2 linked regions of the Elephas maximus indicus genome follow. Each later gene encodes a partner of the first gene's protein in a complex. Links are inferred from orthologs where the notes say so. Each region holds a gene or a part of one and is shown on either strand. Other genes may lie near its edges.

What was found. The genes of interacting proteins can lie anywhere in the genome.
Region 2: STX4 (region 1) and BNIP1 share a complex: the UniProt entries of both Homo sapiens proteins name them as parts of the SNARE complex. The link is inferred for Elephas maximus indicus from reciprocal best matches to the Homo sapiens genes STX4 and BNIP1.

Annotation. Positions count from the first base shown.
Region 1 is NC_064830.1:90,283,982-90,291,363, forward strand, and holds the start of STX4 (syntaxin-4), read left to right. Parts: upstream 1-4,337; 5' UTR 4,338-4,577; coding exon 4,578-4,607; intron 4,608-4,794; coding exon 4,795-4,896; intron 4,897-5,012; coding exon 5,013-5,112; intron 5,113-5,249; coding exon 5,250-5,324; intron 5,325-5,840; coding exon 5,841-5,911; intron 5,912-7,377; coding exon 7,378-7,382. UniProt on the Homo sapiens protein: Plasma membrane t-SNARE that mediates docking of transport vesicles. Necessary for the translocation of SLC2A4 from intracellular vesicles to the plasma membrane.
Region 2 is NC_064820.1:192,250,383-192,257,823, forward strand, and holds the start of BNIP1 (vesicle transport protein SEC20), read left to right. Parts: upstream 1-4,315; 5' UTR 4,316-4,350; coding exon 4,351-4,434; intron 4,435-7,146; coding exon 7,147-7,239; intron 7,240-7,441. UniProt on the Homo sapiens protein: As part of a SNARE complex may be involved in endoplasmic reticulum membranes fusion and be required for the maintenance of endoplasmic reticulum organization. Also plays a role in apoptosis.

The DNA.
Region 1 (7,382 bases):
GTTAAAGCCATGAGAGTGTATTTAGAGTTTGAAGAAGAGAGGTCCTCAGATGGAGCTCTGGAGAGCGGTCAAGGTCAGGCCCAAAACATACTCTCAAGAAGATAGCTGTAAGGGGTTCATCTCTACAACTGTTGGGTTTTGGCACAGAATTGCCTCAGATGTGCGTAAGGTAAATAGAGGCCCTTTAGGTGAAACGTGCATGGATACTTTTGGCTCCTGGTGACACAGCAAAAAAGGAGGGGGAGGAGGACCAACAACCTCCCAGTCAGCTCCAACCCAGCAGGTGCGGGAGAAAGACCCTGTGACAGGGACTCAGTCTGGCAGGCAAAATTAACCAGAAGCCAAGTGTCTGTAAGGGTCAGCAAGTCCCCAACGGGTGTGGAACATGGGGAGCCACCCCTGGCTGGTGTTTTTCTTGGATCACTGTATGGTGATTAAAAGCACAGACGCTGGAGCTCAACTATCTGGGTTCAAATCCTGACTCTGTCATTTACTTGCTGTGTAACTCTGGGCAAGTTACTTAACCTCTATGTGCCTCAGTTTCCTCCTCTGTAAAATGAGGATAATAATATAGTAGAACCCTCAAAAGCTGGAGCCTGTGTAAAGTGGAAACCTGTCAGTGAAGGAAAACTCAAATATTTTCCACTAAAAGGTGTGATGGAAAAAGTGGTAAGACTGTACCCTGTCAAAGGCAGAAAACGCATGAGACCTGGAAGAACAAGGCAGTCCTGTCATGTTCCGGCTCTCACAGGTTTCAGTGAAATACCTATCTCATAGACTTGTTACGAGGATAACATTTATAAAGTGTTTATACTGGTTCGTGGCACGCAGCAAACACAATATGGTTATTAAATTAAGAATTACAAATTTCATTCATTAATGAATATTTATTGAATAGTTACTACATGCCAAGCAGTGTTGTAGGTGGTGGGACACAGCAGTGAATAAGGCAGGCAAAAATCCCTGTCCTCGTGGAGCTTACATTCCAGCAGGGTACTGAAGACAGACAATCCACAAAATAAATTCGCAAAATATATGGCGTGTCAGACCCAAGCAGAGACATGAAAGATGCACAGGAGTTGGCAAGACTGCTCGCCTAGGGTCTGGGGCACAGTGGGACTCAGGAGATGGAAAGAGGAAGGAAGACACTGAGCAAGTGGCCGAGTGGATTCCCTGGTGGTTGCTGAACCTTTGAAGTAACAATCATCCTTATCCCCATCATATAATATCAGCAAACACTGGGATCATAGTGTAGTGGTTGAAAGCACAGACTCCAGAGCTCAACTATCTGGGTTCAAATCCTGACTCTGTCATTTACTTGCTGTGTAACCTAGGGCAAGTTACTTGGGAAGGCCCTCAATGAGATGGATTGACACAGTGGCTGCACAAAAATGGGCTCAGCCATAGCAACGACTGTGAAGATGGTGCAGGACCGGGCAGTGTTTTATTCTGTTGTACATATGGGTGCTATGAGTTGGAATCAACTCAATGGCACCTAACAACAACACAACATAATATCAGCAAACACTTAAATAGCACTTATTTCTTACCAGGCACTATTCTATTCGCGTTATGTTATGTATCTCATCTCATTTAATCCTTATAACAACCCAATGAGGTTTGTCCTATTATTAATCCCATTTTTCAAATGAGGGAACTGAGGCATAAACAGGTTAACTTGCCTAACAAAGTCATAGAGTTAGGAGGTGGTAGAACTGGGATTCAAACCCAAGTCATCTGGCTCTAGCGTTCATAGGACTGAACCTGCAGGTGGTGGGACAAGACAGGCTGCCACGCCCCAGGACCAGCCAGGGCCTGCCCTTCACACAGACTGGACTGGAAGGAATATACATACACCCTTGATACGTGTATACCCAAGACTCAATATACTTAACACACATCCAGCTTCGAGGCTGTTCAGAGGGCCTGGGAGGAGTAACTAAGGGCCATGAAATAGAGATCAGGGCTCAGCTCTGGAGAACTCTATCCTCAGACCCAAGCCCCCCAGAATACCCCTGGTCTCCCGCCCCCTCCACATGTGGCCTTAAGTCACCATCCCAAAGCCTGGTGATCCTACCCACAGACCGCAAATAACGTAATGAAAATCATAATCCTGGGAAGTTTAACAGAGGCACCAACAACTCCAGGTTGCTTCTGGGGCCTGAGAAGGCAAGTCATCAAGAGACGGAGAAACTAAGAGAGGCAGATGGGACTGCTGGGCCCCACATAACTGGAACCCATAGTAGTGGAAGCCTGCAGAGGGGCAAGCCATCAACAGTTTACAAAACCCTGTCACATCCTTCCTGGCCTCACTTGATACTGTCCAATTCTTACCTTAGGCAAGGCGGAAATTAGTAGACCAAGCTGTCAAACGGGAAACTGAGTCCCAGAGAGGAACAATGAATTATTCAAGATCACAGGCAGGACTAGGAATCAGGGATCCAAGAGCCCTTCCCCTATACCAATCAGACAGAGAGTATGAGAAAGGCAGAGGGGGGATGGGGACAGGAGGCAGGAGGCAAGTGGCAGTTAACTGAAGAGGCAAAGGCTGACCCGGAAGCCACAAGAGGAGGGAAATTCTTCTTTGTGACCTTCAGGGTATTCACGTAGCAGGGCTTGGGCTCCTGAAAAGGCCCTCTTGTGGGTTGATCAGAGCAGCAGCATCCTTGCTTTCTCATTCCCAACCCCAGGTGAGTTGGGCTCTAAAGGAAAGAGAGTGATTGAAGCCCTTCACAGAGAATCAATCGGATAGTACTTCACAGTGTTCAAGCTCATAACCATCGAAATTTAGCGCAGGGAATACCCACCAGCTCTAGTGCCAACCCATTGTACAGACGGAAGATCAAGGCCCAGAGACAAGAAATGACTTTCCAGACGTCTGTAGTAACTCGGTGATAGGAATCTAGATCTTCTGACCAGGGTATATGAGAGAGGGGCCATTCCTTCTGTTGCTTGAACCTCATATAAGCTCCCTGGGGAGAGCTCTGGGATCCAGGAAACCTGAAATCCACTCCTGGCTATCCTCAGAGCCACTGAGTAGCATTAGGCACTCCTCCAATAGAATGTAAGTTCCACCAGTGCAGGGATTTTTGTCTGTTAGTGCTTGATGTATCCCCAGCCCCTGGAGCAGTGTCTGGAACATAGTATATGCCCAGTAAATATTTGTTAAATGAATGAATGTCTACAAGGCCAGGGTTGGTAAAGTGTCATGACAGAGAGCCTGAAGCCTAAAGGAGAAAAGACCAAGAACAACGAGCTAAATCTTCAGATACGTAGAAGGCTAAAATTCTGTCAACAAATATTTATTGAGGGCCCATTCTGTTCTGGGTACTGAACCAGACTATGGGGATTCAGTTAAGGACAAGCCAGTCATGCCCCCTCCCTCCCCCCGGCCTCAAGAACTCACAGTCCACTGTAATGTTGAATGTGGGCATTTTCCTGTGGACTCCAGAGTAGAACCAGGTGGAAGGCGGGGGTGGGGGTGTAAGTGGCAGGGAAGGGAACGGTTCGATATAACGCAGACACTTTCCTCAGCCTGAGCTGCCCCGAAATGGCCTTGCTGCTTGGAAGGTGATGAGTGCAGCGGGACTGCAGTGTTCAAGCAGGGCGGCTGACCGCCCACCTGTCAGAGGCTGTGCCAGGAGTATGCGGGAGAGAAGATTCTGCTTTGGGTGAGGTCACTTTCCACCCCCAGATTCTCTGCCTACAAAGCCCTGCAATTCTCTAACGCTAAAAACTCAGATCTTATTATTCTCTGACTTTCAAGGTCCCATGATACTGACAGCTCCAAACTCTAAGTCAGCCTCTGCCCACGCCCCTGAACCCAAAAGAAATAAGAGAAATTCAGCAAGGGTCCTACCACCCACTGCCTCAAAAGGCCTCTCTGGTGGTACTCAGCGTCGCCCCCCAACTCTTGGGGGCTGTAGGGGTGTAGCTCGGTCGCGGGAGAGCCGGGGACATCGTGGGGAGGAGGGTGTCCCAGAAAAGGAGTTCATAGAGCCGGTACACGTGACACTGAAAACATCAAGTTCTGCGGTCCGCGGGGCTGAGATGGGGCCGGTCACATGACGCAGGGGGCCACCATGGGGTGATGTGAGACGAGGGGCCTCTCATATGACGTCCAAATGACGCATTCCCACCCCTTTTGGCAACTAGATTTCCGTTGGAAGATGAGACTGTTCCCGTAAAGGGACCGGGTTCTCACATCCTTGAAGTTTTGCTTCCGTTCGGGGCGCCACAGCTTCCGACTTCCTCCTCTCCCTGGGGCAAGGGAGAGACGCGTCCTTGTGCGCATGCCCCGAATCTTCCCAGCGGGGGCGGGGCTGAGGCTACGGGAGCTGGTAGGGGGGGAAGAAGAGGGAATACCAACCTGTGGAATCGGGGGGGTATCCGAGGCTGGCTCCTTCCCATTGGCTGTGGACCGTGCAAGGGACAGAGCCTCTGGCGGCTCGTGGAGGTGTTGGGGTCCGCAGGGTGAGGGAGGGGAGCGTCAGAGTGTGAGTGGGGAAGGGAGTTCCAAACTTAGATCCTTGAGGCCCTCGGGGCTCAGGCGCGGGGGAGAGGGAGCTCGGGCCGTCATGCGGGACAGGACCCACGAGCTGAGGCAGGTGAGGAGTCGGTGCAGCAGGGTTGGGAGCGGACAAACGGGGTGGATTTGGCTGGAATGCGGGACTTCTGGTCCTCGGGGCAGGGAAGGGTGGCTGATGGCAGGGAAGGAAAGACCCGGAAGCCCGTCGGTTCCGTGGGGCGAGAGCAGTAGCAAGAAAGTAGTGCCAATGACCCCGGCTCTGGCAGGGAGATGACAGCTCGGACGATGAAGACAAGGAGCGGGTCGCGCTTATGATGCACCCGGGCACGGCCTGGCTGGGGGACCCGGACGATGAGTTCTTCCAGCAGGTAAGGGGCTGCGGTCTTGGCCTAGATTTGCGAGGGGACGGGGCTGGAGAAAATGAAGAGCAGTGCGGCCTGGAGTACCCCGTGTCTCCTTTAGCTTTCGCTGTCACCCTCCCCAGGTCAGGACAATTCGGCAAACTATTGTCGAGCTGGAGAATAAAGTCCGGGAGTTGGAGAAGCAGCAGGTTACCATCCTGGCCACGCCCCTTCCCGAGGACAGTGAGTGAAACCCCGGGTGCAGAGCGCATGCTCAGTCCTAGGGGTTGTGGGGGTTGTAGTTCCATGCAGGTGGTGGCCGGGGTGGTTGGTTGAGGTAGGAACTGTTGTTTTGGGAGTTATGGTCATCTCTTGTTCAGGCATGAAGCAGGACCTGCAGAACCTGCGCGAGGAGATCAAACAGCTGGGGAGGGAAATCCGCACACAGCTGAAGGGTGAGCTCCTAGAACTTCAGATATATCCTTTCTTCTGATCCTACCTACCTGCTGGTACATCTGGGGAGTGTGGAATGTGTGGCCCAGAGAGGCTGGTGGTATATCCAGGTCACACAGTAGGCCTCTAAAACCTTGGTCTTCCAGTGTCCAGTCCAGCACACTTTCCACAGCAAACGCCTGATTTTTTCCTGTACTTTTATTTACAATGAAACCATTGACTCCTACAATTCCTCCTGCCCAGTGTGCATTCTTTGTGCAAGCAGATGGGGGTTTTATTAGGAGACCTCTGCATACCTGTGGGAATTGACTGATGCATTGTAAACCAAAAATACACTTTCTACTCTTAGAGGCTTAGAATTAATCATTTTACGCTAAATTGTATTTCCCTTAAAAAGTCTGTGGATGCAAACACCTTCCTGTTGTGTGGCTGGGGGTTGGCCCTCGCTCTGTGTCCTCATCCTCAGTCTTCAGAAGCCACAGGTCAACCCCTGCCCTTACCCTGGTGTCTTCCCACAGCAATAGAGCCCCAGAAGGAGGAAGCTGATGATAATTATAACTCAGTCAACATGAGGATGAGAAAAACCCAGGTAGGTTTCTTGTTCTGAGAACTAGGACATTCCAGCAAGTGTTTCATAGATCATTAGATGGCAGAAGTGAAAACAAAGGGCCCTTAGAGATCAAGTCCAACCTGATAATTTTCCAAATGAGGAAACTGAGGCTCAGAGAGAGAAAGGGTTCACCCAAGGTCAAGAACCCAGGTCTTCTGATTCCCAATCCATTTTAACAGTTGCTGAGTCCCCAGATATGTCCTAGGCTCAGCTGTGGGAGATATACTTTCCTGAGGTGGGGAGTTACAGGTTGAGTAGGACTTGATGACTAATGGTGCTCTGCCCAAGGAAGGAGAGGGAGAAGTCAAATGACTAGGGGTTTCCAGCCCACATGACAAGGACAAACTTGAATTTGGGAAGTCAGGAAGAGGAACTGCCCTGAGGGAAAGGTCACTGAATCAACATCTTAGTTAGGAGCTTCGAGGTGATCTGATGGGCCCCTTCTGGGTGTCCAGTGAGGACTGGTTGGGGTTGTTGGAGGTCATGGTTACAGTAGGTGAGCCCAGAGCTCAGCAAAGACCTCAGATCAAAGAAGGAGAGGTTTGGGCATCTTGAGAGCAGATGTGCCTCTGAAGAAGGAATGCAAGGAATGAACGCATTTCAGACATTGGGGGAAGACAAGGCAGGACAAAGAAGCCTCACAGAAGTCCAGAGAGGGTATTTCAGCAGGAGCCATGGTGGATATTTTTGTGAGAGGCAGAGGGCCTAGACAGACCTGTAAATCTGTACGTCAGGCTGACTGCCAGGAGTCCTGGCACACCTGTAGGCTCTAAGGAGAGAGGCCAGCAGTCAGCAAACATTCAACAACTATTTATTGAGTGCCTACTGACTTTTCTTGTTGTTTGGGTTGCAAAACAGTGAACCAAACAAAGATCCCCACTCTCATAGAGCTTACATTCTGGTGGGAACAGACAATCACCACAGTAAACATTAAATTATTTTAGAACATTGTAAGTATTAAAGAAAAAAAACAAAATAGAGCAGGAGAAGGATTGAAAGTGCTGGGAGAAGGTAGGGTTGCAATTTAAAGGTGGAGAAGGCCTCATTCAGAAGACGACATTTGAACAAATACTTAAAAGTCTTTGTGGGGAATCAGCATTCTAGGCAAGGAACAGGCCTAAGGTGCAAGTGTGCTTTGCTCAGGGAGGAATAAGGATGCCACTGTGGCTGCAGGGAGCGAGTGAGGGGACAGCAGTGGTAGGTGGTGAGGTCATTGAGGCAGTGGGGGAGGGGCAGATCATGTAGGGCCTTGTAGGTCCTGGTAAGAGCTCTAGCTTTTCCTCTTAGAGAAATGGGAGAACCTTTTCAAGCCGTCATAAGGTAGTTAAGGCACAGACACCTCACGATAGCTCATGCTGTTTGCTCACTGTACCCTCGGGGATGCTGAGGCCCAAACCAGGCAGGGATCCTCCCCAAGGTACCCAACCTATGTTCTCCACCTATAGCATGG
Region 2 (7,441 bases), on another chromosome or scaffold:
AATTGCCCTTCTTCACTGACAGTGATTTTGGAACCAGGTGAGCTCTTTAGCCACACAAGAGGATTTGAAAGAAGGAAAAACATTAGTTGGGAAATGCATTAATGTCCTGGCTAGCAGGTTCAGAATACCAAGGTGTTAGAAAGTCCTGGGGGTGCAGCATTCATTAAGCTTCTGCTAGGGGTTTTCCCATCAAGGACCTCAGGTGCTACTCAACAGCTAAGTGAGGCTGGTGGTCATGGCCATTTTACAGGTGACATGCCACGGACCCAGCTAATATAGAGCCCCAGTTCAAACTCCATTCTGTTTGCTGCACTACACAGATAATTTGTACTCATTTCTAAGGTGCCAGGCCAAGACACAGGCAAGATTTTGAAAGATGTTTGTGTAGAAGGGAAATAATGGGCTTATAATCTGAAAACCAGAAAGAACTAAAACCAGAATCTAGCAAACAGATCAATCAAAAGCTGGTCTCAGAATCAATGGATAAAGGTGACTGGTGAAGGAAAAGAGCATTGTGAGTGACTGACACTCACTGGGTCACCAGATTGCACACGTGTCCCTAACAGGTGGCTTCTAGCAGAATGGTTTAGGATTGGCTGTCTTTATTAGAAGAGAGTATGGTATAAAAAAAAAAAAAAAGAAAAAGGGAGCTGTGTTTTCTCTAGCTGCGGCATAGACATGCAGCTTGGGGACTTGCTTGTATAGGAATTTCTAGCAAAATGCATGATGTAAAAAGGGCCCAAGGTTATGTGTGCAGATCACAGCTGCAGGCATTGGGCTTTGCTGCAGTCCTACATAGGGTGCTAACATTTGAGGATCCAAAATGCTCAAGTGGCCTGAAGAACATCAACCTGTTTCTTCAAAAGGTTTTAATCTTAAAACATCATCAAGAGTAAACAGAAAACATACAAGGTCTAGATAAAGGAAACTTTAAAATACCCTGAAGGACACAGAAGAAGACGTGAACAAATAGATAACGCCAAGCTCTTCAACAGGAGCAATCAACGTAAAACCATCAGTCCTCCTCAGTTAAATAAAACTTTAATGCCATCCCAATAAAACATACCAGTAGGGTTTCAAAAGCAAGACAAAACTAAAATTCATATGCGGGTGGGGGGGGGGAATAAAAGTTAGAGGATGCTAGAGGGAAAAAAAAAAAGGGTGTTCAGTCCTAACAAACATTAAAATATAAAACTGTAATTATGAAACCAGTATAATTTTAGTGCACGAATGAGTAGATAGGCCAATAGAACAGAATAGAAAGTCTAGAAATAGACCCAAATATGTATGTGAATTTAGTATGGCAAATGTGTCATTCATAACCAGTAAGGAAAGGATGGATTCTTCAGTAAATAGTGTTGGAACAACCAGGGAACCATCTGAAAAAAGTAAAGCTGGTTCTATACCTCACACCATAAGCCAGCATGTATTTCAAAATGGATAAAGATGTAAATGTAAAAAAGAAAAACACCATAAAAACACTATAAAGAAATGTGGAAGGGTTCCTTTAAACTCCTGTGGGTGGGGAAGGCCATTCTAACTTGGACCTCAAATTGAGGAGCCATGAATGAAAACTGAGAAAAAAAAAAAAAAATACAGCCATAGAACACCATAACCAGAAAAAAAAAAAAAAACCAAACCAAACCCATTGCCGTCGATTCTGTCTCATAGCGACCATAAGCCAAGTCAGAATTCTATAGTCAGAAAAAAAACTTGCAACTCATCTCTAGGTGCTAATCCTAATATATAAAGAGCTCCTAGAAATTGATAGGAAAAATGAGCAGACTAAAATGCAAATACAAATAGCTCTTCAACACAAGATCCTCAATCTCATTCATGATAAGAGGAATGCAAATTAAAGAATAGCATTTTCATCTAAGCAGATTGGCAAAAATCCAGCTGTTAACACAGCATGTTGGTGAGACCATGGATGGGAAAACAGGCATTTGTACCACGTTGCTGGTGGGAGTGTAAACTGATATAACTCCTGTGGAGAGCAATGTACCAGAATTTTTAAATGCATATATCATTTGACCTAGCAGTTCCATTCGTTCTGTGGCCTTAGGCAATTCATTATTCTTCTCTGTGCCTGTTTCCTCATCTTAAAATGCAGATAGTTGTACCTTACAGAGTTGTTTGGAGGGTTAAATGAGATGAATACATAGCACTTAGGACACAGTGCCTGCGACATAAGGAGTGCTCAAAAATGTCAGTATTAACAGCAGCTAATGCACATTGAGCTCTTACCATGTGCCAGGTATTGAGCCTGGTGCTTTTCATGTATTATCTCATTTAATCCCCAAACTAACCCTGTGAAGTAGGTGTTAGGCTCTGATGAGAATGAGGCACAGAGCCCTCAAGTGAGCTGTAGAACAAGATTCAAGTAGAGCAGGATTTGAGCCAGGGTGGATGCCCAAGCTTGCGTAACCCTGCCTCTCTGTTAGATGAAGTGGGATGACAACTCCTTAAGGGAGGGGTGTGCCAGTGCTATAGGAACACAGAGGGGCAAGCAAGTCCCATAGCTCTGCTTGTACAACACTACCTAAGGGCCACGTTTGAGTTTTGAGAGAAGATGTGAATTTCAGCTATGGCTCTGCTACTTTCAAGCTGGGTAACCTTGGGGCGGGTTTTTAAAATCCACTTAGTCCGTCCCCTGATCTGTAAAACAGGGTCTATTCGTTTCCTTGGGCTGCCATAACAAAATACCACAAATCAGGTGGCTTGTAAGAACAGAAAGTTATTGTCTCACAGTTCTGAAGACGAAAAGTCCGAATTCAGGGTGTCAGCAGGGCCAAGATCTGTCTGAAGGCTCTAGGGGAAGATTCTTTCTTGTCTCTCCTGGCTTTGGAGCCTTGGTGGTGCAGTGGTTCAGCGTTAAGCTGTGAACCAAAAGATTGGCAGTTTGAATCCACCAGCCGCTCCTTGGAAACCCTATGGGGCAGTTCTACTCTGTCCTCTGAGTTGGAATTGACTTGTTTCTTGGCTTGCAACTGCAGCACAGCTGTGGTCACATGGCCCTCTTCCCTCTGTCTCTGTGTCTCCTCTTTTATTAACACACCATTAGGATCCACCCTACTTTAATAAGACCTCATGGTAATCCATAACATCTGCAAAGACCTTATTTACAAAGAAGGTCACATTCACAGGTTAGAACTAGAAAGTAACTTTTTTGGGGACACAATTCAATCCGTAACACTAGGGCATTACCTATTTCAAGGGTGGTTGTAAGGATTAAGAGAAACAGGCACTCAGGTCCTCACAACTGATGCTTATTGAAGTGAGCTGGGGAAAAGTGGGTGGGATGTGGGGAGGAGAGGATGGGGAAGGAAACACTAGGAAGAGGGAACAACACATCACAAGACTACAGATTCAGACATAGCTTTAGGAATCCAGGAAGGTGCCCCACGACCTTGAGGACCAGCTAAGAAACGAGCTGTTCAACAATAAAAATAAAAGAGCCACAATTTGTTGGGGGCCTGCTTTTACATTATTTTACTTAATACATCAAAACTACTGCAGTGAGGTAGAATTAATAAATTCAATTGTACACAAAGGAGAACCACCAGAAGCTATGGAAGGGGTGTAAGCAGGGAGGTGACTTAATCAATTCTGGGTTCTAGAAATATCCGGACAGTGAGATGAGGTGACAGGAGGTGCTCAAGCCACTTGCCTTGAATTCCATACGTTAAAAATATATATATATATATATATATGTTTACCATTTTCTCTTTTACCCCACAATTTATACTCACTCTAGAAAGTGTGAAAAAGTTTAAAGGAATATTTAAAAACTTGTTAATTCCACTTCCCAGAACCCGCTAAGAGACATCCCAATTACCATTTTTCTTCCAGTCTTTTTTTTCCCTTCTATTTAAAAAGTCATTAGAGTGATTGGCGGAAGACGGGGAAAGGCCACTGTCAGCCGTTTTTGATATTCTCTTCGGCCTGGTTTTATAACAGTAAAACCAAGGGGCGAGGCTGATTTTCCCCATGTGTCGGGGTTGTTGTGTGCCGTAGAGCTGATTCCGACTCACTGCGACCCTGTGGACAGGGTGGAACTGCCCCATAGGGTTTTCAAGGAGCGGCTGGTGGATTCGAGTTGCCCACCTTTTGGTTAACAGACTGAGCTCTCATCCACTTAGCCGCCAGAATGCCTAGTTATTAGGAAACCTTTGCAAATGACTATCAAGAGCCCGCGTTAGAAGTTTCGGTGCCGACCTCTCGCTCCTGCCACACTCAAACCGGTCTTAAGGTGGCGCTGCTGCAAGACGAGGAGGGGAGGGAAAGAAGGAGGTGCGAAAACGCATCTGAACTTTGGGCACCGCCGCTGTCCGTAGTAGGCGTCCCAACATGGCGGCACCCCAAGATGTCCACGTCCGGATCTGTAACCAAGAGATTGTCAAATTCGATCTGGAGGTGAAGGCGCTTATCCAGGTACTAATTCCCAGAACCCTGCCGGGTTCCAGCCGCCCTAATCCAAGCTCCGTCGGCCTCCTGGGCGCTCGGCGGTCTCTCTCCCGAACTGTCCCCACTTGGTCAGTTCTTCGAGACTCTTGGCCCCGCCGGGTGGCCGAGTACCCCTATGTCGTACCCATTTGGTCAAGTCCTGGTAACTGTTGGCCTTGATCCTCCATCCGGGTGCCGTTGGCTTGCTCCCTTTCGGACCACTCCCATGTCGCCCGCCTCTGCCCAGCCTCCCCTTTGTGGCCTCCCCTCCCTGGCCTTGCCCCGCCTCCGACTACCTCACAACATACCTGTCACCCCGTTATTCCCCTCTTAGTGGCTGCTTGCCCCCGCCTTTGACACCCCCCCCCGCTTTCCCGCGATAGCCTCGCGGGGGGGCCATTAGCTCCGCGCCCTGCCGGGTGCCCCGTGGCACCACCTGGCATGTAGGCACCGGGTGAAATGAATGTAACGTGGACCGCAAATGAGGAAATTGAGTAAAGCGCGAATGCCTGAATCCAAAGACGGTGCAAAACTAGGACCGGGACAAGAGAAGTCTGCTCGGGGAAAGGACTTTAGGGAGTCCCTCTGTTTAGTGTATGGGGGAATTGAAGTGTTTTGCTTTAACCCATCATCAGGGCCCTTAAACTACCATTTAAGGTGAGAGGCAGTAGTGCAATAAATCAGTTGACAACAGCAAGAGTTAGGAATGTAGTTCCCTAAGTTTACCAAAAGGAAATCCAGAGTTTTAAACCTTAGTTTTTAAATTTTTTTAAATTTGTTTTTGTTCTTCAGAGTATATGCAGCAGAACATATACCAATTCAACAATTTCTACATATACAGTTCAGTGACATTGATTATTCTTTTGAGTTGTGCAACCATTCTCATCCTCTTTTTCTAAATTGTTCCTCCCCCATTGACAAACTCACTGCCCCTTAAGTTTCCTATCTAAGCTTTCAAATTGCTGTTCTCAATTTGATCCTGTAGAGATAGATCTTAAAAAGAGCACAATGTTCAAGGCAGACATTCTTTACTAAATTAAGCTAAACTGTTGTTTGGTTTAAAGAAGACTTTAGAAGATATTTTTGCTTTAAGGTTTAAAGATTAAGGGCAGTAGATTCAGTGGTTCATCCAGCCTCCATGGCTCCAGAAAGTCTATAGATTCCATGAGAATTTGAAAATCTGTTTCACATTACCCCCCTTTTGACCAGGATTTTTCTATAGAATCTTTGATCAAAATGTCCAGTAATGGTAGCTGGGCACCATCCGGTTCTTCTGGTCTCATATAATCTTAGCTTTAAGCGAGTCATTTTTGCTTCCAACAAACTGTCATTAAATGTTAGACGTAGACTCAGAATTTGCAACAAGTTATGGCAAAAAGCAAAGTTTGGAAAGTAGGACTTCTTGGGTAGAACATATGCAGAATAAACCAAATTAGCAGTTTATCATATGGTGCAAGGGTGTGTGATTTAAGGAGTAAGCCAGAGAACAAGTGAAGAAACTTGATGCAAACACTTGAACATCACATCTCATGTGTATTAAGCCACAAAACTTCTGAGACAACTCTAGAAAAATTAATTGAGAGCTCATACAAATGAAATGACCTTTTCACACAATCTAAATTGTTTAGGCCCCTTTCTCTAACATTTGGGTTCTTGTAATTGCTAATGAGAGAGATTCATAATAGCTACATTCACTGCCCACTTACTGTGTTCCAGCTGCTCTGCTCAAAGCTTTCTAAACATACATAGTCTTTGAGATAAGTAATAAGGAAACTGAGACAGAGAGAATTTAGGTAACTTTCTCAAACTTACACAACTAATAAATTGCTACAGCCAGAATTTGGATACACATAGTCTGGTTCTAGAGCCACTCTAAAACCTAGCCCCAGTAATTCTGAATGTCCAGAAACAAATTCTAAATCCCTAAATATGTCTGTAGACATTGTGATTTATAATAGATGGTTTGAAACCATTAATCTTGTATGATGACAGAAATATAAGCATCATGATTTTCAAGTTGGAAAGATCTAAAGTTATAATAAACCCTTCATACTGGTCAGGTGATGTTTTGTTACACTTTAACCAACCAGGTGCTTTCTGGTCGATTCTGACTCATGGCAACCCCATGTTTGTCAGAGTAGAACTGCGCTCCATTGGGTTTTCAATGGCCGATTTTTCAGAAGTTTGCACCACTCAGGGACTCCTGTTAAACTTTAAAAAAAAAAAAAAACGCTTATTGCCGCAGAGTCGGTTCTGACTCATAGCAACCCTACAGGACAGAGTAGAACTGCACCATAAGTTTTCCAAGGCTGTAATCTTTATGGAAACGGACTGCCACATCTTTCTCCTATGGAGTGGCCGGTGGGCTTGAACGACCAGCTTTTAGGTTAGCAACTGAGCACTTTAACCACTGTACCACCAGGGCTACTTTATTAAAATTTAAAGAAAAAAAAATTTAGGGACTAATAACTAGGTCAAGCCAGAGTTGCATTTCTTGGTTTGCTTTTATGTTATCTGTTCAACATTATTCTGAAGCGGGATGAGAAAAATGTAAATAATAATGGTTTTGGTTGTGTGGCAGAGGTCAACGAGATATTGGGATGAATGACAGTTAGTAGGCCAACCTTAGCTGTGGTCTAGGAGAACTGTCTCTCGGTACAGATGGTTTAATTTCTCCTTCTTCTCTTCAATGTGTCCTAGGATATTCGCGATTGTTCAGGACCATTAAGTGCACTTACTGAACTGAACGCTAAAGTGAAAGAGAAGTTTCAGCAGTTACGGCACAGAATACAGGTGAGTGGCTACAGAACCAAGATGTTTGATGACAGTGAAGGGGGCTCAGTCCTGAGACTAACCTCTGCATCAGTGGATGCTTCAGAGCTGTCCAGGATCTTCAGTAGTAGCTGGAGTAGTAAACCTTTAGACAGTGAGGGTGACTCTGTACTAACCTGCTGTCCAGGTAAAGATGAAGAACTTCTGACTGCAGAGCACTGCC